Linked DNA regions of Oreochromis niloticus. The protein of the gene in region 2 interacts with the protein of the main gene of each other region in a pairwise test. Links are inferred from orthologs where the notes say so. Each region holds a gene or a part of one and is shown on either strand. Other genes may lie near its edges.

Region 1 (8,001 bases), on a different chromosome or scaffold from region 2:
GTGCAACGATGATCCAAAACATGCCAGTTTGACAGATATGCAAAAAAACATGCTGAAGTTCACATTCTGATAAAGAAAAAACCTTAAATGAACTGGACAGACTGGTTCCACAGGAGACTGGACTAACAGCTGAAGGCTCTGCCGTGTCTAGGAACCACAAATAAACCAGCAGTCTGAGAGAGAAGGGCTCTGTTTTAGATAATATGGTACTATGAGGTCTTTGAGATATGACAGACGCAGGACTGTAGCCTTGGACATACTGATTCTCATTCCTGCTGCTTCACACTCAGCCCTGAACTGGAGGATGGTGGTGAAAATGGAAACTTTCCATCTAGGAAATCTGTCATGAAAGTCATGAAAACTAACACTGTAAGCGTTTTTTTAAATGAAACTTTAACAAAACACACTGAACATTTCCGGAAGAATAAAATCAAACTGAAATGAGCTGAAAGTTACAAAAAAAAAAGAAACAAAATAAAGCGAGCAAAAAATAATGAAAAATTAAATAACTGAAGGGAAGATTGAAGATACTGTGAATCCAATTCATACTCCCAAAGTCTTATTTTACAGTGCGACTCTTAATCTGTGTCTTGGAGTCGACAAGCATATGTCCTTCAATGTGTGTACTAGGCAAATATGTTTGTGCGATGTCTCTAATGAGGAATATCCTCTCACGGTGAGCTCAAAAAAACTAGTTCATTTACTTCGAGGCTGCACTACTGTAATTTGTAATTATCAAGATGTCCTAAACACCACAGCATGTCCTAGTCCTGTTGTCCTCCCTTCATGCCCGACCGGTCGCAGCAGATGGCCCCGCCCCCTCCCTGAGCCTGGTTCTGCCGGAGGTTTCTTCCTGTTAAAAGGGAGTTTTTCCTTCCCACTGTCGCCAAAGTGCTTGCTCTTGTTGGTGCTTTCTCTGTATTGTAGGGTTAACCTTACAATGAGGCACCTTGAGGTGAATATTGGTGTGATTTAGAGCTACATAAATAAAATTGATTTGAATCTTTGAGAATTTGAGCCTCCTTCAGTCAAAGCATCCTTTAAACTAAGGCTCATTTTATGGAAGAACAGGAACTCACATGATGGCAAATCTAGCAAACCTCTGCAGTCCCAGTAGAACTCAGCTTTTTCAGTCTCACACTGGGGGTTAAATTCACACACAGGAAGGAAAAAGGTCAAAATAAGTATGCTTCTTGTCAAATTTGCCATCTTCAACTTGGAACCCTCTACGACTGAAACCTAAAAACTGCTGGTCTTCATCTGAAGACTCTGAGAGAAGCTATGCAAGCGTGATGTGCTGCTGAAAGTGTTACAAAGATAAGTTTTTATTCATTAAACCCTTATTGGAGCATCTGAAATAAAGCCAAGTGTGGGTCGTTCATCTTATTTCTTGGTTTACAATAAAACATGCTCAGAAGGTTGCTTGAAATGGACAAATTAATGAGACCCACCCAGCTGTCAGAGTGCTTCTGCACTAGAGGGATAGTTGCAGGAAGAGCTTGACATGCTGTTCGTGTTTCAGTGTCAGTGTCACTAACTCTCACCCTGTCAGCAGAGGAATGCTGTGGTGACAGGGTGGATGTCTGTTCACAATGAAACCAGTGTTTGATCATCTTTGTGTCAGACGGGTTAGTTAGTAGTTAGTTAGTCCTTCTGCAGGTGTAAAGGAAGTTGTCAGAGGGTGGGGAGCCAGTGAGTTGGGCTCACAGGAGTAACACAGAGAGGACAGTCTGGTCAAAACTGAGTCCTTACGTACTGGCTGCTGCTGAGGATGGTGAGGTGCAGGTGGTCTGACTGAAATGTGGTCCAGGCTCCACCCAGGGGTGGGGCAATATCTGCTGGACTAAAAATGTTCACGCCTCAGTATCAAAACCACCGACAAAAAGTGCCGGACTGTGACATGATTATGAAATTACACCCATGGCCATGAATGAGGTCATACATTTTTGTTACATATGTAATCCGCCTGGCACTGAGCGACTGAAAAGGAACTACAGTGCAAGGAAGACAATGGAACACGCAGAAATAAATAATCCAGGCAAGGTTTAAATGATAACTTTGCATCTAGCAAATGAAAACATGTAATGGCCCAGTGTTAGCAGTACTGCCTCGTAGCATGAAGGCTCTGCCTTTGCACTTGACGATTGTCGGGTCATTTATGGAGCGAGGGTGGCGGGTCTCTCTGTGTTAGCCCTGTGAAAATACTGGATGGAACCTGATTAGTAACTTTATGATTACTTTCATCTGTGACATGAGTGGAGGTGATGTGAAAAGAGAAAGAAAGGCTGTGAGAATAGTATAGAATAGCCCTTTATTGTCACTATACCTGTACAAGGAAATTGTGGGTGCTCCACTACACAGTACAGGGATAAACTATAAATAGTAAGACAGCAGGAATAAATAACAGGCAGGAGGAATATATACAAAACACGAGGAGTATGTACAAAACATGAGGATTATATACAAAACAAGAGAAAGGCACACAGTAGAAGAACAGGTTGAAAGGACTTGGTCTGAGGAGTCCATGTGTGAGTGGCCTGAATGATAAGGGTTACTGAGGCCATGGCTCAGACTCATGGGTGGGCAGCGGTGGGCTGTGGGGGGGAAGAAGCTGTTTGTGAGTGTGGTGGTGTGGGACCGGATTATGAGGGTGGGGTCTATTATGAGTTCTTTTGTTTTAAGGATGTTCAGTTGTGGGAATGATGGTGGAGACAGGTGATGATCCCTGGCTTGGTTGGTCCACGCAGGCTTCGACCCTGGGATGTTAATGATGCTGGAGGGAGAGAGAGAGGAGGTGTGTCGGGTCATTTTTGACACCTGTGGGTTATTTGCTACATCAAGAAACATTTGGCTGTTTTTATGAAAGGGACACACACACACACACACACTTGTTTAGGACCACATACTCATTTTTACTGATAACAGCTTTTATTTCCAGCACAGGAGATGAATGACTCGTCTTGATTCCTTACAAAGCTTCAAAATAGGAAAAGACTAAAGTGACAGTGTTAACACAGGCCAGGACTACATTCAGCTGATCTTCACAAGGCCGTGTTCAGACTGTCCATAATCCCAGGTAAAATAATACGAGTTAGAGGCGAGTTACTGCAAGACAACATTGTACTGACTCTTATCGATCACTTTTCTACTCTGAGCACTCAAAGCACTTTACACAACATGCCTCATTCACACAAACACTTTCATCTATGCCAGTGCTTCCTATCTCACGTTCACACACACTCATACCACGATGGATGCATCGGGGAGCAACGTGGGGTTAGCACCTTGCCCACGGTTACTTGGCATGGAGACTGGAGCAGACAGGGATCGACCCACCTGCTCTACACCTGAGCACACCTCCCACATGGTGCTCCATTATTAAGGAGTATTATTATTAGGGGCCAAGAAAAGTGCTGCTTCAGCTTTTTTCAGCTTTTCAGTTATTGTAATCTTTCACTTTTAACTCCCAGAACTTTATTGTAGCGCAATATAATATTAGCTTCAGCTGGCTTCCAGGAAAAACCCTCTTCTCTCTGAAAAATGGCAGCAGGATCATCTTTGCTATGTACAAACCACAAAACTTTGGCAACAATGTGCTCTGAACAGACCACACCAAAGGGGAATTGTTAGTCTCTAATGCACAGTGCCACATTGGAGATAATCAAACACCCAATACCACCTGTCACCACGATGGAGGAGGTGCAGCCACAGGACCTGGGAGACCTAGCAGCAACTGAGTGGACCATGATGCCAAAGTATTCTGTCCCACAGCCAAAGCTTGGACCAACCTACGTCATCAACAGGACGGCGATCCTGAGCTCAGCAGCAAACAGACTGAAAAAAAGAATCAGGGTTTTGCAGTCCATAAATAAAAACCTATAAACCTCCATGGTTTATAGGTTTTTATTTATGGAGGTTGTAAAGTGTGATAAATAAAGTGAGTTGAATTAAAAAGTCAAAGTGAAAACTACAGAGTGAATGTTGTCATGAAATGCCTTTACTCTGTATGTGAATTCCTGCAGTCACACTGTCACTGTTGCACAAACACAACACAGCATTTACACAGAGGAGCACAGTGTCAAGTCCGACTGGTTCAGCCAGAGCCGTCCTAGCTGCCACACCCCACCCAGAGCTACAAAGCCAGTCATGCACACAGGACAGGTTGTATTTTCAGATACATACACTGCAGGAAAAGGCAGTGAACAGAGAGATCCAGCTGTCTGAAACTGGCTCTGATTTGCCGTGACCCCAATACTAAGGTCACTGAAACAACCTGTAGCAGCTGGGGCCTCCAGTGATCAAACCTGCACATCCTACAGACACTTGGCCAGAGATCTGGAGAATATGAAGTAAACATCAACAACTCTTATGTTCCTCAAAGTATTTCCAAATACTTTTTGCCTTATAAAAGTGAATATTATGCTGCTAACAGAGGTCACTCCCTTAACACCCAAGCACCCAAGGTGGGTGCTATGAGTCAAAACTAAGATTTCCCAGCACTTTTAATAACTTGTGGGTGTGCCAAGCCTGCAGGTGTTCGCGCATATGTTTATATGAAAGAAATAAATGAGATACATCATTCTGACCAGGACATCTCGCTTTTACACAGGCCCGTTCTGCAGTGGGCACGGCCATTAGCGGTCTGCAGCTGGCACTACGCGTTGATACAGCAGCTGGTCGGCTGCATACCTGAGCCAGCCTGTTGCTGCCTCTGCAGCCGTGCTGATGTTACAGGTGCAGCACACAAACTGCTGATTACTCCCAACTGAAACTTTGAAATGGACGCGCCTCGTTTTACTGTAGAATTCATTCACTTTTTCAGTGGAACACACAACGTGTTTGCGTGGGTGTGAGAGGGGAAGGCTATGAAGGCGGGGCCTCGCTGTTTGGACCCTCCCACCCCGCGGTACTGACAGGTAGAAGGTCAGGCTGGAAGCGCTGACTTCATTGGTTCTGGTACTTTGAGCTGGGACGGCACGCTCTGATAGTGAGAAGGGCGCGTGGACATATCTGACTTTGACACACAGCGACGCAGCGAGCGCGCGCAGCCGAGACTCACCTGTACTGCTGGGTCTGTTTCTGTCGAAAGCCGCTGACAGGTGACCTTCATCATGCTGAAGAAGAAGAGCAAGTCCACCACGATAACGCAGCCGAAACAGACGTAAGTAGGAGCTTGTTCCTCTGCGCTCGAGCCCTTCAGAGCGGCTCGCGAGCTTCATCTGTGCTTAACTTGTAGTGATTTCACCTTTCTACACGATCAGCGGACTCACGCCACATCTCAGACAAAAGGATGGTTAAATGATCACACCCGGGTGAGCCCGGCTGAACTGGAGCTCGCAGTTTATATGCGCATATTGTATTACTTGTTTGTGCACACAGAGCGGTCGCGGCGCTGCGCTAAACAAGCAGCAGATGGAGAGAACGCGGAGCTGTCCGTCCGAGCGCTTTAACAGAGGCTTGGATCATCGTGTCCTGATGGATCGCTGGATGTAAACGTTCTGAGGTGGTGTCTGTATGAGCTACAGACAGACGGGCAGGGCCGAAACTCGGAGTTAGACTACATAGTTTGTGCATTAACTGGAGAGTGGGTGTGGCTGATAAGCCGTGGATAGTTTGCGGTAACTGGTTCGATAAGTTTTCTGCTGCCCTCCTTAGAAACACAATGTGAGAGGAATTCCTTGCAGCCTCGCCCATAATGACACCACCAAGCCCAGTCACTTCAGCTGTTTTACTGGCGTTGTCCAGGGTACAGGCCGTCGTGAAAGTGATAAAGTGAGGGTGTTGAATCATGATTCTACAGAGCGCTGGCTTAGAGACAGATGGTACTCCCTGTCAAGCAGCAGTTATCAGACACATTAGTGTTTCAGTGAGAGATGTTTGTCCTGCTGCCACACCTGCGCCAACAGCAAAGGAGTCCTTGTTTTGGTGCTGTGGCTTCATGTTCATGTGAAGCAACTTTGTTCACACCAGCACAGTGATTTATTGGCTTCTCACTGTTTCAGCCGTCTTAGTGCATATCGGCCATTATAGTCACTCATGCCCTGTGATCACCACCAACAGATTGTCATAGAATCTGAATTATGCAGCTCCACCCTTTTGTCCTACACCAGGTGCAGGTGTGCGTGTGTGAAAGATGAGCTCTCTTCATTGATGAGCCAGGTTTTAAGTCAAAGCCCAGCGAACAGAGACGACTGTAAAGGCGAGGCGGCGAAGCTGGGGAATAGTGATCTCTGCAGAGCTCAGTGTCTGTGCAGAGATGATTCACATACCAGTTGGAGGAGCTGGGGCTCAAACCACCAACCTTCCAGTTGGTTAACAGCATGTTCAGCACGTCTCAGTCTACACACAGAGAAAAGGTCTCGGGGTTTGCACTGATGCTTTAGTGACAGCAGCAGGCTTCCACACCCTGTGTGACCTAATGCTGGAGCGTTCTGGTTCTGATTTAACCAGCTCCCTGTGGAAACACGTGAGTTATGTTTGTCGAGTGCCAGGTCCTTTTCAGAACTAACACAGCCTCAGTGAGAACACTGCGTTAAAGCCAGTGACCTCTCCAGGATCCAGAAACACACAATACAAAGCAGAGCAGGTTAAACTGTTGGAGCATTGCAGATCAGCACAGAACTGCTTCTTGTTTGGTAATCTGACACTGTGCACTCTTTGGTGCTCTAATGACCACAGCAGGGTGAGCTCACATCTGTTCTGAATTCACAATGAAAACAACTCTCCACTTTTACACAAGTTTTATGCAAACAAGTAGTGCTAATCATTTGAAATCATGCAGGAGACCGCTGCGTTCATGTGAAGCTCCTTTGTTCTCATGTATTTGGTTTTGTGATGTTTAGAAGACGAGTGTAAAGTTGTAGATGAGACGTTTTCTTCATGTTTGTCACTAAAGTCAGAAATCCCCCTCAGCCTGTTGGGTTTTTGGTTTTTTTGGATGAGCTTGCAGAGAACAGCTCGACAGTACGCACCAGTTCAGACTTGTTTGTGTTAAAGTAAAAATCAGCTCAGGTTTGAAATTACTGCATCGTGCATTATGTAACAAATGATAGGTGTGTGTGTGTGTGTGTGTGTGTGTGCGCGCATGAAACAAAAACTCGCTGGGCTAGTTTCCCTCATTTTAGGGAATATGTCAGCTGGGAGTTACCTAATGGCACCTTATCCTTTTACATTGGAGAGGCCAGCATACACAGTCAGACTCATGAGCTCTGATGTTATCAATCAGAACACTTTATTAATGGAAACGATGTGATTATAGTCGCTCCAAGACAACAAGAACAATAACAGACTGGACTAAATTAAATGATACAATTTATTACAAAGTTACAAATATAAGAATTTGCTCTAGTATATAAACAAACGGCTCAATTATAAATATCCAGAGTATTGAAGAGATTAACTATGTACGAGTGACATTTTACGCTGAACTTTGTTACTTTGGTATTTTCACTGTAGACGATGTACAAACAGGTGTAACTATTGCACTGTGTGCTACAGTGATGGATGCATTAGATGGAGGAGTTGTGCAGGGAGATGACCACAGGCAGGAATGATTTCCTGTGTTGTTCAATGGTGGCTGTTTACGCCGTACTGTAGTGAGTTGTGTTCATTTTCACCCAAATTGACGCTGGTCATTGATTCCTGTCTGACACCAGGGTGTGTTTTAGTGCACTGGATGAGGATCCAGGATGAAATCACATGATGAAAAGATGCAGTTAGATGATGACTCATTATCACTATGTGTAATGAACAGCACAGGTTACTGTGCAGAGTACTTGCTGCTGGGTCCTGGATCACTTGGTAACTGTACGAGCAACATAATGTCAGTTTCTGTACAAACATGTCACTGTTGAAACTAACAGTGCACAGGAAAGAAGTCTAATACATTTATCCTGCATTTGTAGCCCCATTCAGGACTCTGAGACTGACTACATATTCAACTCTTTACATGCTTTGGCACTCTTTCCTACTCGTGATGGGTTCCCAGTTTGTCAGATCTGC
Region 2 (8,052 bases):
CAAGTGTATACAAACTCTTTTTTCTTCTTTTTTCATATATACACACACACACAAATTCCATCTCACCTGCAGCAGCTGTTCGGGTGTTGGCTGTACATCAGCTTCCTTTCTCATGACACCAAAGCTTCCTTTAAGACTAGTGGAGTTGACATGCTGCTGCAGCAGAGGCATCAGGTAACGAAGGGTTAGCAGCACCCCCAGTATTAGATGGCTGGGATGTTCATCATCCACCGGAACCAGCAGACCTGGAAAAAGGCGAAAAGGGCAAAAATTCCAAATTAGCTCACAAATGTTAACACAAATGATCTTAGTAAAATGTAAAAGGGTAGAAAAGACATGTCCACAGTCTGTGCTTGAAAGTGAGCCTGTGTGCGACCTACCCAGAAGAACATTAAGGAGCCAGGTGTAGAAGTAGCTAGTGCGTCTGGAGTGCTGGCAAATACTAACGGCTGAACTGGCTGCTGTCCGTCTAATGGTCGGGGAGCTGGACTTCAGATTAGCCACAAATGCCTTCAGCAGCACCTAAAACAGAAATAGTTAGATGATGATTACAAAAAAAAGTTTCCACTGGCCTATGATTTTTATTTTTTTTTTTCTACTTTAGCACACAGCAGGTGAATACCTTGATTTCACCATCATTGGCAAAGTGTCCCAGGGCGGACATGATCTTGGGCATTGCTGTAGCAAGTGTCTCCTGCACAGTCTCTTCCTGCCGCTTTGTGATTCTGGTGAGGCACGGCAACAGGTTGACCAGGTAAGGTCTGCGCCATAAGGGAGAGAGAAGAAGTATACATGAAGTAAAAGCAAAAAAAAAAAAAAGAATATGCAAGTAAAAAAAGCACAGATGATACTTTGATGTTGTCCCCACAACCACAGCAGACTCTAAACTAAGACATGTTGTGGATAATAGTTAAAAATAATGTAAAAATATTATAAGTTTGCATACCTGCATTTCTGCGGTCTGATGAGGTGGGCAAGCTCAGCAAACCTCCATAAAGCTGCCCTCAGACTCCGAGAGGCACCATTCTATTGAGCCACACAAGCACTGATATTACCATGTCTAACATCTGACCGTACTTTCTCTAAAGAAACGTCAAACAATTTCTTTTCACATCTAACACTGGCCTATAGTCTGAGAGTAAAGACATAGAAGGTGTATTAAAAAATACTCACTTTACAACCTCATGCCTTACCTTTTTAATTTCTTTGTACAATTCCAGCTGCAGTCTAGGCAAGTTGGAGTCCATCAGTGCCTGAAAATTATCAAAATGAATGATTAACACCACCACCAACAACACCAAACTTATTTTGACAATTTTGGTCATTAATATTCTTATTCATTTGTCCCATCTTGCAGATTTTGCTCACTTTGATTATTTTATTCAGGCACTCATCGGCTACCATCCGAACATCTGATTCACTGTCATCGCTGCAGAGCAGGAACATCTCCATGGCGATGCCAAGCAGTTTCTGAAACTCTGGAGATGTTCTATTCCCAGGACCAGAGAGAGAAAAAGCCAAAAATCTATTAAATTTTCTCAAACTGTTAACCCTCTAGCATAAACTCACAAAACTGAGGAGCAATACGTTTTTTTTCACAAAGGACATTACAGAAAAGAAAAAAAAAACTATATGTAAAGATGAACATGTCCCCACTTCATTCCCAAAATATCACAGAAATCAGTGAAATCAGGTGTAAAGCCACTACTGAAGCAGCTCTGGTTGCAAATGACATCACCCCGCACCTCAGACATTCTTTACAGAAAAGCTATCTTACCATTTATACAGTTAGTGAAGGTGATAGGAAACCCTAAAATAATGTAAAAAGATATGACTCACACCAACACATATTTAGATCAAATAACAAGGAATACCTCAGTGACTGAGCCACAATGTTTTCACATATTGTCAGACAGTGGGTCACCCTGTCCTTCTTTGTGGCAGCTTGCTCCTTTTTTCTGTGGAAGATGAGACAAAATGCAAAAGATGAGTGTGAGTGTGTGTGTGTGCACAAAGAAAGACTGAATTTAGGTATCTTGCTTATAGCCAAGGAATGCAGTGATTAAAATAATGACTATAAATCAGAGCCATCCCCTAAAACTGTATTCCTTACGCACGGATCCCATCAATTCATTTCTTTAAAAGCTATATAAATGAATTCCTATGCCTGTGTTTCAACCAACAACGGACTAGATCTGTCATAAAACTTCTTGGAGATGACGCAAGTGCAGGAAGCCCCCCTATGTTGATCATTCCATTCATAACCATTTGCATAAGCAGTTTAAATATTATTATGAAACTCAACATCCTCTGCTACTGAATACACAAAATTACGTCCTTGAAATTGATCCTCCTGACCCTTTCACGTGTTCTTGGCATCAGCTTTCTGTGTTGGCCATCATTCAGCTGGTCTGATCCTAAAATCAGGCTAGCAAACAATCAGATCGCGTTAGGATAGCGAGCATCGCTAAGCAGCGATCTAAAGCATGGCAACAAGTGTACCTAAATGGGCTGAGAAGTATGAATAACACCTTAGCCTCATTCCCAGTTTACGTTTTAGCGCAGCTGACTTGAAGCCATCTATTAAACGTTGGTTATCTACCCGAGATGGACCAACGCTGCTAGCACGATAAGCTAAGGGTCTAGCCTAACGGCTCCTAGCCTCCTATTCTGTCACCGCTGGACAAATATCAACTTACTGCCTCTGAGCGAGCTCCTCGGCGGTCGGTGGTCCCTGCTGCTGCTGGAATGACTTCAGAGACTCAAAGGCCTTCATCAATTTCTCCATGGTGGCCATTTTAGCAATCTACAATAAGCAAGCTTGCTTGACTAGCTAATATTTACTATGTGAGCTAACTAGCTAGCAGAGTAGGGGCAACTTAACGTTTGCGCACGTAGAGAGCAAGAGGTGCGTAGTGCGGCGAGAGTGCTAACACTGCTCGCGACAGCTACCACCAGCTCTCCGCCTTGTCTTCTCGCAGAGCGCCACTTATTCTTTCACACTACTATTCCTAAATAAATCAAATGCAGGTTGATAATAAGCCATCTTTGATGCAGCATTGCGTTTTCCCACCAATCACACCAGGAAGTAGCTTGTGTGACAGGTTTACTGAGAGGGGAAGGGTGCAACGTTAGCAGCCAATCAGAGTCCGGATTTTTGTTGAGTGGCTTTAGAAAGAACCAATACGACACTGTGATTTTTTTTTCTTTTGTTGTTATTGTTGCAGTCACGAGACCGCTGAAATCTGGAGTGCAGGACAGATTTGTTCAAGTGTAATTTACAAGTATTGACTTTAGTGTGTGCGCTGATAACGGTGGGTGTCAACTGATACGAGACCGTAGGAAGGAAAAACAAATGCACGGAAACCAGCCCCTCCTGACAGTTATTCGATCATTTATTCTTTTGTTAGTGCTATGATCTCTGACAAATTGGAAGAAGCAGGTAATGAATGGAGCAAATGTAGGGTCTAACGGCATAAAATATATAACTTATCTAACTTTAAGTATTTTACTCCTGATTTCGTTTCTTTTTTATTATTATATATTTATTTTTTCAGATCAAGCTAATTGCAATATTAGCATTTATTAGCAAGCATTTATTGGGATAATTGCTAATGAGTCTTTCACAGTGCTGTAGAGGAATTTTGGCCCACTCTTCTTTGCAGAATTGTTTTAATTCACCCACATTGGAGGGTTTTTTTTGTTTTGTTTTTTAGCATGAGCGACCTGTTTAAGGTCATGCCAAAGCATTTCAATTGGATTTGAGTCCAGACTTTGACTAGGCAGTCCAAAACTTTTTATATATGTAGATGTGGACTTGTTGGTGTGTGTAGAATCATAGTCCTGTTGACCCAAGTGTGCTTGGGTTTGAGTTAGTGGCCAGATACTCTCCTTCAGGATTTTCTTGTAGAGAGCAGAGTTCATGATTCCATCAATTACGATAAGTTGCCCAGGTCCTGAAGTAGCAAAGCAGGCCCAGACCATCATACTACCATTACTTCAGAATTTATTCTAATAGGCACCAAATCAAAACTGACTAAAGTTCCAACCAGAAGTTTTTCATTATCCAGTGATAACTCTGTTGTCACACCTTCCCCTCAGGTTAAGAGTCTTGGTGTCATCCTTGACAGCACTCTTTTCCTTCACATATAAATAATATCACTCAGTCTTCTTATTTTCATCTTTATCATATTAACCGCCTTTGTCCTTCAATCACTCCAAACAGTACCGCCATACTTGTCAATGCTTTTGTTCCATCTCGTTTAGATTACTGTAATTGTCTTCTCTATGGTCTGCTTCATAAATCTCTCCATAAATTGCAGTTAGTTCAAAATCGGCTGCTTGTATTATATTCCGAATTAGATCTACTAAACATATAACACCTGTTCTTAAACAGCTCCATTGGCTCCGTGTCAATCTTTAGATCCTGCTTCTTACTTTCAAAGCGCTTCATAACCTTGCTCAACTATATTTTTCTGATCTTCTCCATATGTACTCACCCCCTTGTACACTCCACTCTTCTTCAGCTTCCCTTCTATCTGTTCCACCTGCTCGCTTCCACGGAACTCAGAGCCTTTAGTTGTTCTGCCCCAAGACTTTGGAATGCACTTCCACCAGCTCTCTGGACTACAAACTCTCTCTCCACTTTTCAATTGCATCTTAACACCCATCTATTCAAAATTGCATAACCTTCATCGTGATTCCGTCTTAGTCTATTTTTACCTTGTTTAGCGTTTATACTTGCTTTCATACTTGTTTATTTTTCATTTACCTTATGTTTTTATTTTTATTTTCTTTTTGTACTCATGTAAGGTGACCTAGAGGCTCTTTAAATGCACCTATAAATAAATAAAATGCATTATTATCATCACTATGTTTGATTGCTGATATGATGCTCTTTTTATGAACCTTTGTGTTCTTTTGGTCAGCAGTGGTTTTCCCTTCAGAATTCTCCCATAGTTGCCATTTCTGCTCAGTCTCTTTTTTTTACTGTTGAATCATGAACACTAACCTTAGCTGAGGCAAATTAGTCCTGCTGTTCTTTAGATGTTGTTCTGGGTTTTTTTGGTGACCTTCTGGATAAGCTGTCAATGAGTTCTTGGAGTAATTTTGGTAGTCTCGTCACTACTGGGAATGTTCACCACTCTTCTAAGTTTTCTCCATTTGTGGATAATGGCTCTCACCTTGGTTGACTGGAATCCCAAGGACTTAGAAATGGTTATGTAACCCTTTCCAGACTGACAGATGTCAATGACTTTGCTCCTTAATTGTTCTTGAGTTCTTTAGATTGAGGCACAATGTGTTGCTTTCTGAGATCTTTCTGTCTACTTCAGATTGGTTTCTATTTACATGATTTCTTGATTAACAAGGCTGTGATTTAGCAAGAGTAGCATTGCTTTTCCACATATGGAGCGTGATGGCAAAATGCAAACTGCATCCAGGACAGAAACAACTCAATTTTGTTGCTTACACAACTTTGGCTCTTTGCAAGCATCTCCACAGACAGCATTCTAATGCTAAGATAGCCAAGAACTCAGAGTAATGTTAAAGCTGATTGAATACTGACCACAGCCCCAGATATGCTGCTTAGTGATGGTGATGACTTTCAAAGCAGAGCCAATGAGAATCGATAAGGATTTTTAATCCATAAGTGATATCGATTCCCATCCCCAGCTTCATTATGCCTTTAAACTGAAATCATTTAAAAATTGATTTTGTATTTACCCGGGTTATCTTTGTCTTACATTAAAATCTGATGAATGTTCTGAAACATCTAAGGGTGACAAATATGCAAAAAATAAGAAAAGAGGAAGGGGGGGGAAATACTTTTTTCCCCCAGCACTAGGTCATTACTTTTTATACTCTTCCAATTGATGGCCTTTTATTCACAGTAATAAAACAAAAAACACAGAACAAATAAGTCAAGACAAGTATTTTTATACAAATGGCAGTGTATTATTTCATAATTACAAATGTCAGATATGGTACAACAACCAGTGATACAACTTGTACAAGAATTAACAATGACTGCAGTGGTTGAACGACATGACTGTACAGATACAAAATAAAGAAGAAAAATCAAGAAGTCCCAGGCCGAGTTTGAAAACCCATAATCCATCCATCATTCCTCCCTTTCTCGAAAATATTACTTAACTGACAAATCTGGACAAAAGAACGTGAAACCCCGCAAAACCTCCCAGCCTGTGTCGGTGGTCATCCCAAAGCTAGACTTGAGTAAACTAAATAACTTGCGCTTCGAAACGTCGCTGGCGAGCGCCATCCCAGTGTTAGGGAAGTGGCTTGACTCACCATCAGAGTCTTGGAGGAAAGGCAGAAGAGAAGGAATGCGCTTTATGAATTCAAAGACTCAGCTGGTCGCCTTGCGATTCATAAAGATGTCCTCAGATACCAGTGAGATATGTTGGCACTAGAAGGTCATAATTTACATATACAAGGAACCTGAAGTATTACAAACTGATACATGCTTGAGTAATAAAACATATGCATTTTTCTAAACAGGCATTACAATGCACTTAGTGCGGACATTCAAAACTGTTGAGCTGTTTAAAGTTCCTTTACACAAAGGAATTTCTCTAAGAATGGACGGAAGGATAAAGAGGCTGAAAAAAGGCAGGATGTCAAAAATTAACTTGGTTATTGGCACATATAATAAAGGCTGTCAGTCTTTCTCTACTAAATTCTTCAGAAAACAAAGAAATTCTAATTTAGTTTATGTTGCTTTTGGTATCACTGGCAAAAAAACAGAAATAAAAACAAACCAACAAAAGGTTAAAGACACTTTTCCCATAGTCATTGTCAAAACACACCATTAGTGCAATGGAACGAAAAACAGAATTTCTTCACTGCTATATGGAAGGTGTAAGAGTAAAGATGGTCAAAACAATGATAGAGGCATGGGTGGTGAACACAGTTTAGTTTCCTTGTGAGAATGAGTGAATCAGTTACATGTTAGAAATACATAATTTACAAGGTTTTTGAGGCTAAAGAGCTAAAAGGCTAAAATCTACAGAGGCAAGCAAAATCAGCTTCAAATGTGCCTGAGAGCAACAACAAACGAAATAAAGACACTAAGAAACTCAATGACAAGAAGCCAGCAACAGCTAGATGCACCCATCTGATTCCTGATAATGGAATGTGCAACAGGGGACTCTTAGAATAAGCCACTTCTCCAAATTAGGCAATTACATAGGGGACCTATATGTGTGCCACTTTAAATGTATACAGTTTCAAAAGTGTTAGGAATTGAATCAAGCTCCTACATGATTCTGAAGCGCTCTATTGACAAAATGCAGACTTTGCTTTTCTGTAGAACAAAAAAATTGATTAATTATTCAGGTTATACACATAAAACTAACATGTGCAGGTGGGGTATTCACAGCATTAAAAACAGAAGGTGGAAGTAAACAGCAACTGCCTCCAAAGCTAAATTCATAAAATGGGCCTGAAATGCCTCAGAAATAAGCAAGTGGTGAACATGTTTTTTTAATATATATATAAATAGGGAAGGTAAAGAGAATGTATTTGCTCATGACTGATTAACTTGGAAGGAAACAGGGCTGTAGGAAAATGTAAAACAATCTTGGTTCTGCAATTCAGAACTCAACTGACTGTTAATTTCTCGGCCTCTACGCACATGAGCAACTGTCTCAGGTCATTCCTGAGAGAGCAACATCCAAGCTGTGAATATAGTAGTTGAAGGTGGCCATCATCAGTAACAAATTCTACATGTATCTCAAACACAGTTATAGCTAGGGAGGATAAATGGAGGCCAACTAGCGATCAGCCAAGCACAAAGGCCAAAGAAGGCTGACATCTGAACCAGCGGATCAGGCGCAAGAGATTTTTTTTGGTTGTTGTTTCTTTTTTCTTTTTTAAAGAAGCAGTTGTCAGCTGCAGGCCAGGTCTATGTTACATTTCCAACATCGCCTCCTTTATCATCTGTCTTCCTGTTCCAACTCAGTCAAATGTCTCCAAACACCCAGAGGCTTTCTGGTCTGCTTAAAAAAAATGCTAAATAATTCAAAACAACTG
Region 3 (7,289 bases), on a different chromosome or scaffold from region 2:
AGCGGCTCACCCTAAACGTCTTTCTGGGGCTGAAGAGCCTCACATCCTCCCGCTGGTACTGCCTGAAGAAGCAATGCGCCAAGGCTTGCTCAGCAGTGAGACGGTTAGCTGGGTCCACCACCAGCAGCCTGGATATCTGAGTATCACAAGCACAAAGGTTACACAAGTACACATGAATGATTTAAGAGATGCAAATACTGCAATATGATTTATTCTTTGCACTGGAAATGTCAATATTAGGGTTGCTGCAGAAGACAGTACAGAATAAGCTGACTGTATGAGCTTACCAGATCCTTCACAGTGTCAGACCGGTCGTCCCACTCTGGGGAACTGAACTGATAGCGACCCTCCATTATCATCCTCAGCATCAGCATCTGCTTACGGTGCCAGAACGGAGGCGAGCCGGCTAGTAAGGTGAAGAGGATGACTCCACAGGCCCAGCTTAGAAACACACACCATGCAAATGTTAGAAATGGCAGTAAGGAGTAGTACGTTTGTAAATCTCCGCCGAACAAAGACAGACTCACAGATCGACCTCCTTGCCGTAGCCTGGGTGCATTTCATCCATGGAACACTTTAGTATTTCGGGCGCCAAATAACCAGGTGTCCCACAGAGCTCTGATTATAACAGAAAAGATCGTTTTAAACTAATAATGGATGAACACTTGTCACAGGATCTGCTCATGATGTACAGCCATACCTCGAAGCTTCTCCCCAGGTTGTAGCTGCACGGAAAAACCAAAGTCAGAGAGTTTGATATGGCCATAATCGTCCAGGAGAATGTTCTCCGGTTTCAGATCCCGGTGTACGATGTTGAGGGAATGAAGGTATTGCACGGCCTCCAGCAGAGCTCGCATCATGCTCCTATAGAGAACCGAAATACACACATTAGATCCTTGTTAAATAGATTTCGTCCAAGCATGTCTAAGGTTCACAGTAAACACTGTGTAATATGTTTGTGTAATTTTAATCATCTTTGGCCTGATTATTCTGATTATTCATGGGATACACAACATTGCTGATTGGCTATAAAATGAAAATCTTAGAGAAGCAGAGCTTCTCAGAAATAAAGATGGGTAGAGAGTCAACAATCTGCAAAAACCTGCATCTAAAAATTGTGAAGCAATTTCAGAATAATGTTCCTCAATGAGTTGCAAAGACGACTATACATAATATGAACTCCCATAACCTCAACTCAGAGAATCTGGAGAAATCTCTGTACGCAAGTGACAAAGCTAAAAAGCAGCACTGTGACTGTGATCTTGCACATCTGGAAAGGCAACATCTGTGATGAAATGTATATGCAAGTTTTAGAGCAACATGTGCTCCCATCCAGACATTTTTTCTGGGAAGGCCTTGCATTTTTCAGCAGGACAACGCTAATAACAAAAACTACAAAACTACAAAGAGCAGTTTTATATAAAAACAACCCCCAAAAACATGAATGTTTTGTCGATAAAGTGTTTTTCTTTTTAAAAGCTGCAGCTTTCAGGCTTCCGCTTTCTTGATGTGAGATTAAGTTGGGCGGCGTGACACGAGATTAAAAGTGGGTGGCGACACCAAACGTGTGATTATATTTAGATATTCAGCAGCTCTTTAATGCAGAGCTGCTCGCTGGATAACTTTTATATAAAATCTTGTGGGGTGGCATATTTTGGAATATGGTCTGCAGAAACAGAACTTTATCATGTGCCCAATGCAAAATGCTGCTAGTATTAATTAATACAGATATAGTGCAGTCATGCTGTGGCTCACCTGGTTTCCTTCTCACTTAGGGTAACTTTTTCTGTGAGGTAGTCAAACAGCTCTCCACGTCTCATGCTGACAACAAAAGACAGCAAATTGACAAATGTTGTGGAAAGAAATCTGAATTTCAGGTTGGGAGTGTAAAAAAAATTTAGTTTAATAGTTTTTTTGTCCTCATACTCACAGGTCAAACACCAAAAATATGAATGTAGCAGACTCATAGGAATCAATGAGGGTGACTAAAGGGAATGAAACACAAGAAAGCTTTAACACTAACCAAACTTTATGGAGATAAATTTAATGATTCTTTAACAAAAGGAGAGAGAACAGCAACGTACTGATGGAGGGGTGTTCCTTCACCATGTTGAGCACTTGGATCTCTTTCAGCGTGGAGATTTTCACCTCCTCCAACTGCTGGATTGTCATCTTCTCAGCTGTGATCTCGATAATCTTCACCGCCAGCTCCTGGCCCGTGTGTCTGTGCACACACCTGCGCACCACACTGCTCACACCCCTGACAATGAGCATACAATAAAGTGTATTTTCAACATGATCAAAAAGGACACACGGTGCACAGCATTTGCCCCGTTCCACTTACATGTTTCAGATCAATATGCTAATTTTAATATTAGACAAAGATAACCTGAACACACTTTTTTATATGATGATTTCATTTATTAAGGGAGAAAGGCTATCCAAACTTACATGGCCCTGTGTGAAAAAGGTACTGCCCCCCTAAATCTAATAACTGGCTGTGCCACCCTTGACAGCAAAAACTGCACTCAAGCATTTGCAATACCTGGCAACGAGTCTTTCACATAACTGTGGAGGAATTTTGTCCCACTCTTCTTAGAATTCAGACTTGCTGGTGTGTTTTGTATCATTGTTCTGCTGCATAACCTGTGTGGTCTTGAGTGTCAGTGGATTAACAGATGGCCGTACATTCTCCTTCTGGATCTTCTGGTAGAGTGCAGAATTCATTGTTTCATCAATTATAGCAAGTTATTGAGGTTCTGAAGCAGTAAAGCAGCTCCTGAGGCAAGTTAGGCCTGCAGTTCTTTAAATATAGCTCTGGGTTCTTTTGTAACCTCCTGGATGTTTTTCAGTGGCATCTTGGAGTCATGTTAAGGCCGGCCACTGGGAAGGTTCACCGCATTTTCAGGTTTTCTCCATTTGTGGACAATAATGGCTCTTACTGTGATTCACTGGAGTACCAAAGGCTTGTCTTTGTAACTCTTCCAAGATTGATAGATGTCAATGACTTTGTTTCTCAGCTCTTTCTCTAGATCATGACATGATGTGTTACTTTTTGAGATCTTTCAGCCTACTTTAACCTGTCAGAAAGGTTCTGTTTAAATTATTTCTTTATTCAGCAGTCTGGCAGTAATCAAGCCTGGGTGTGGTTTGTTCTCTTTAAAAAAATGTGGTTAGTCACGGTCAATTTGTGATTTAACAAGAGGGTTAATTACTTTTTCACGCAGAGCCAGGTAGGTTTGGATAACTTTTTTTCCACCTTTACTAAACAAAAACTGCATTTCGAATTTACCTGGGTTATCTTAGTCTAATATTTAAAATTTATTGATGATATGAAACATGTAGTGTAACAAATGTGCAAAAACAACGACAACAACAAACAAATCATGAAGGGGGGGTGGAGGGGATGCTTTTTCACAACATCACAACACCCAGGCTATTTTGGTTGACTTACCTGCCAATCACCTCTTTAGGATCATACTTCTGATAAAACTCCTTGGCCCCCACCCAGTCTGGTAATTCGTCCCCAACAACGATGTCTTTGGTCATGTTTACAGCTTATGGAGCTGTTAAAAGAACAGTCACGTGTCTTAGTTTGTACCAGTGGTTCTAAATAAACAGGAACTAGTTACCTAACTCCTGATAAGGAAGTATTGTGCCCTTAGCTTTAGTTTAAATCTAGTTAGCAGGTCAAACTTGCATTTTACTTTCTATATATACACACATCTCCTCTACCTATTGTTATTTAGAGGTCCATCAAAACGGTTATGTAACTGTCTTTGCTATGGCTTTGATACAGCAGCAGGTTCACTGACCGAACAGGAAGCTACTCACCATTTATGCAATCAAACGACAAGACAGAGAGGGAAACGGGGAATCAGGAAGCCCTCTCGGGGTCGAGGAATCTATTGTGAAGCCATAACGTGTGCGATTAAGCGGCTACAGTAACGAAATTAGCTACCGTTAGCGTTAACAGCAGTCAGCTATCACCTGAACACTGTTTACATTCTGGTCACAGTCCTGGAAGTTATTATTACAGTGTGCCGCAGCAGCGCCCCCGAGAGGCCGGAGGGGACGTGGCAGCATGGTTTGCATTTTTGAGGTCTCGAATACACTCTCCAGATAAATTCAAGTAGCTGCACTTCAAAGCACCGTATCCCAAGGAAGTAGTCCGTGTTTTGAGTGTGTTTTTTAATTTACAACTTGTTGTTACCAACGGGAATACTTGATCTTTACATTGTGTGAATTGCAAGCAATAGGCGGCGCTAATGCTCTCCCGTTATTGTAATGAATATTTAAAACCAACGAAGAAGAAGCGTTAGCTGCATATTTCCTGTTGCTTCTCTGATGTCCTGACTTACGTTTCAACTACTGGTTGTTAAGGTTTGTAATGATAAAATTTCTCTTGTAAAAAGACACACATATAACTGTTTAAGAACATTTTGTGTATGTAGTGATGGATAATGAATAAAAACCCCGACCACCTCGGAATCTTGACTCAATAACGCCGTCCGTTAGCCTTAGCGTAGCATTAGCATGGTTAGCGGTAGCAAGCTGCAAGCTTGCAAAAGATCTTTAATCTTTGTAGCAATATGGAATTAAGATGGTTGGTAGTTCTGCAGGCATGCCTTTATACAGTAATAACTCGGCATGTAAATGCTAGTGGAGCAGAAAAGTGAACCTTTTAAAATTAGAGGTCTGCATTTTTGATTTAAGGCTAACGCCGTCCCTTTGCTGTCACAAAATGAATGAATTATAATTCTTCATGCCTTGCTTGATGTAATGCAGGGAAGGAAAGATGTCAGGTGCTGGGGGAGGAAAGCGTCCCCCAGGCGGGGACAGCCCCCCTGGCCCACCTGAAAAGAAAAGCAAGAAAGAAGAGAAGACCACCACCACGCTAATTGAGCCAATACGCATAGCTGGAGTCTCCTCTACGGTGAGTTATATGGTCATCACGTTCTCAAGGCACAATCTGTCATCTATTTTTGCCAGACAACATCTACAATCCCTAACACTCATTATTTCATTTCTCTGTTTGTATGCGTTTGTTAATTACAGGAGGAAATGGACATGAAGGTTCTCCAGTTCAAGAATAAGAAGCTATGTGAACGCTTGGAGCAGAGACAGGCGATGGAGGATGAGCTGAGAGAGAAAATTGAGAAGCTGGAGAAGAGACAAGCCACTGATGACACTACCTTGCTGATTGTTAATCGCTACTGGTCACAGGTAATTCTGTGCATTTCATTATATTGTTAGAATCCATTCTTGAATTTTAGTTTCCACTCTAACCTGATTTAAGAACTGGCACATTTTATCAAAACCTCATGTAAACACAGCAGTCAGATGAATCTATTTTTAGCACGCTTGCATTTGGATGAGGCAAACCAATTTGGCTTATATCTGGTAATTACAGATCTTAACATTTTTTTGTGCTACCACTTATAGCAGGCACATGTGCATGTATAAATTAAGAAAGCATTGCCCAGCTCTTCCATCTGATGGATTGTCATCTTTTTATAATTTGTAAGGATTTGAGTGTTATAAAAATAACTCCCAACAGCTATATAGGTGTTATAGATAATTCTGGAACCTTAGGCAGGTTATATAGTAGGTTTCATCCAGATTGATCAGCATGTCTAGGAGGATAGTTGTTATATACATAGGTCCAGGCTCCTCCTCCTATGTATCCTGTACATGTTTTCCACCTGCCTGCCTTAACCTGATTGTACACATAGTGACAGGTATTGGTCGTTTATCAGGATGTTTAGAAGTTATTTAGCACCAGGTTCTCCACAAAGATGAGTCCACAATTGGAGAGGGGCGGCCGTTGTTCGGCTGTCCCCCAGTCCCCCAGTCCAGTCACAAACAGCTCTCCTTCACCGGTGGGCTGTTCAGTCATAATCCTGCAGATGGTAGCTTTGCACCTTTGGTTCCTCAGCCAAGCACTATACACCAAATGTCTGAACCTGCAGTTCCTCTTGTACTGAGCAGGATTACTATTGCAACTACACATCATCAGTAGGGTCTAATCCCAGCTCACGTTCCCTGTTGGTAGGTGAACAATCCAACGCTTGGTGAATTCTGCTTCACAATGATAGGAAGAGCCAACATCGAAGGATCAAAAAGCAGTGTCGCTATACGTATACTTAGCTGTACTAAGGCTTAAACTCATGGTAATAACTTGTAAAGAGAATTAACACCTTCTTCTTTCTATGTCTATCTGACTTGCAGTTGGAAGAGAACGTGCGCATTCTGCGTAAACGTATTGAGCCAGATCCTCCAGTCGTTTCTACCCCTGCCCCACCCTCAGCAACCATCCCTGACCAAACACCAATGGAGGAAGATAGTGTCAACCTGGCTTCGCCTTCTGGCGTGCCTCCCCCTCCTGTGCCAGAGGCCCAGAACGAGGGTGAGCGGCCAGAGCAGCAACAGGAGGAGCGTCAGGAAGAGCGTCAGGAAGAGGAGCAGCAGCAGCCCCCTCCTCCCACTGGGTCAGATGATTTACTGACACCATCAGAGTCACAATCGGATTCAAAAACAGGTTAGCAATTTTTTAAAATGACAAATCGTCTGTCATAGACTATTGTAATCTGTTTGCCTTATTCATTCATTCTCAATTTAACTTAGTGTATCTTTATGACTTTCATTACTCATGAAGTTACATCAGTGTGAGTCACTACTATTTATATTGATAGCTAATTTTATGCAACAATACTGCACTTCATGCCTTGTAATTTAAGGATATTCTTGTTTATTGTGTATTGACCATTTTTCAAGATGCCTAATAAATTATAGTGAGGCAAAGGGGAATGATAGTGGGCTAAAGAACGCAAGTGTTGCAGCTTTTCTTTCATCTGTTAGCATGTACTGCTGGCTACAAACTGCAGAATTTTAGTGTATTATCAAGACTTTAGTCCCAGTCTACACAGTCTGTATTTGATAGATTTGCTTTTTCTTTGCTTTGTATTTAAATAACAAATTTGAAAATGCTTGTTTATACCAGACTGTACCACATTGGACCACACTGTGCTAGCAATATATACTGTTTTCATTTTTTTCAAAAAAAATGTGATATTTAAGAATTCTAGTAAATTGTTATTTGCTGACTTTATCATTTTTACATATGTGCAGATACATCACCGCCACCTCCTCCCCTGAGTGAAAATGCCAAGGGTTTCTTGTCGACTCTGGAGCAGAGCAGCGAGGAGGAACTAACTCTGCACCTCCAGGACCGCATGCAGTTCAGCAAAGAAGCCATCGCCTGCTTGGTCTGCGTCTTTGATAGGCTG

The links. The genes of interacting proteins can lie anywhere in the genome.
Region 1: the proteins of htt (region 2) and ppl interact in binary tests that used the Homo sapiens proteins (3 or more experiments, as listed by UniProt). The link is inferred for Oreochromis niloticus from reciprocal best matches to the Homo sapiens genes HTT and PPL.
Region 3: the proteins of htt (region 2) and rnf40 interact in binary tests that used the Homo sapiens proteins (3 or more experiments, as listed by UniProt). The link is inferred for Oreochromis niloticus from reciprocal best matches to the Homo sapiens genes HTT and RNF40.

What each region holds. Positions count from the first base shown.
Region 1 is NC_031969.2:543,864-551,864, forward strand, and holds the start of ppl (periplakin), read left to right. Parts: upstream 1-4,945; 5' UTR 4,946-5,111; coding exon 5,112-5,161; intron 5,162-8,001. UniProt on the Homo sapiens protein: Component of the cornified envelope of keratinocytes. May link the cornified envelope to desmosomes and intermediate filaments. May act as a localization signal in PKB/AKT-mediated signaling.
Region 2 is NC_031971.2:34,422,769-34,430,820, reverse strand, and holds the start of htt (huntingtin), read right to left. Parts: upstream 3,105-8,052; 5' UTR 2,798-3,104; coding exon 2,700-2,797; intron 1,959-2,699; coding exon 1,875-1,958; intron 1,490-1,874; coding exon 1,369-1,489; intron 1,254-1,368; coding exon 1,194-1,253; intron 1,027-1,193; coding exon 947-1,026; intron 762-946; coding exon 623-761; intron 523-622; coding exon 381-522; intron 246-380; coding exon 67-245; intron 1-66.
Region 3 is NC_031973.2:19,409,570-19,416,858, forward strand, and holds the start of rnf40 (E3 ubiquitin-protein ligase BRE1B), read left to right. Parts: upstream 1-4,233; 5' UTR 4,234-4,383; intron 4,384-4,788; 5' UTR 4,789-4,798; coding exon 4,799-4,936; intron 4,937-5,058; coding exon 5,059-5,226; intron 5,227-6,231; coding exon 6,232-6,541; intron 6,542-7,131; coding exon 7,132-7,289. Other genes in the region: phkg2 (phosphorylase b kinase gamma catalytic chain, liver/testis isoform), read right to left, coding at 11-136, 288-441, 528-618, 701-864, 1,756-1,821, 1,931-1,985, 2,085-2,260, 3,455-3,549.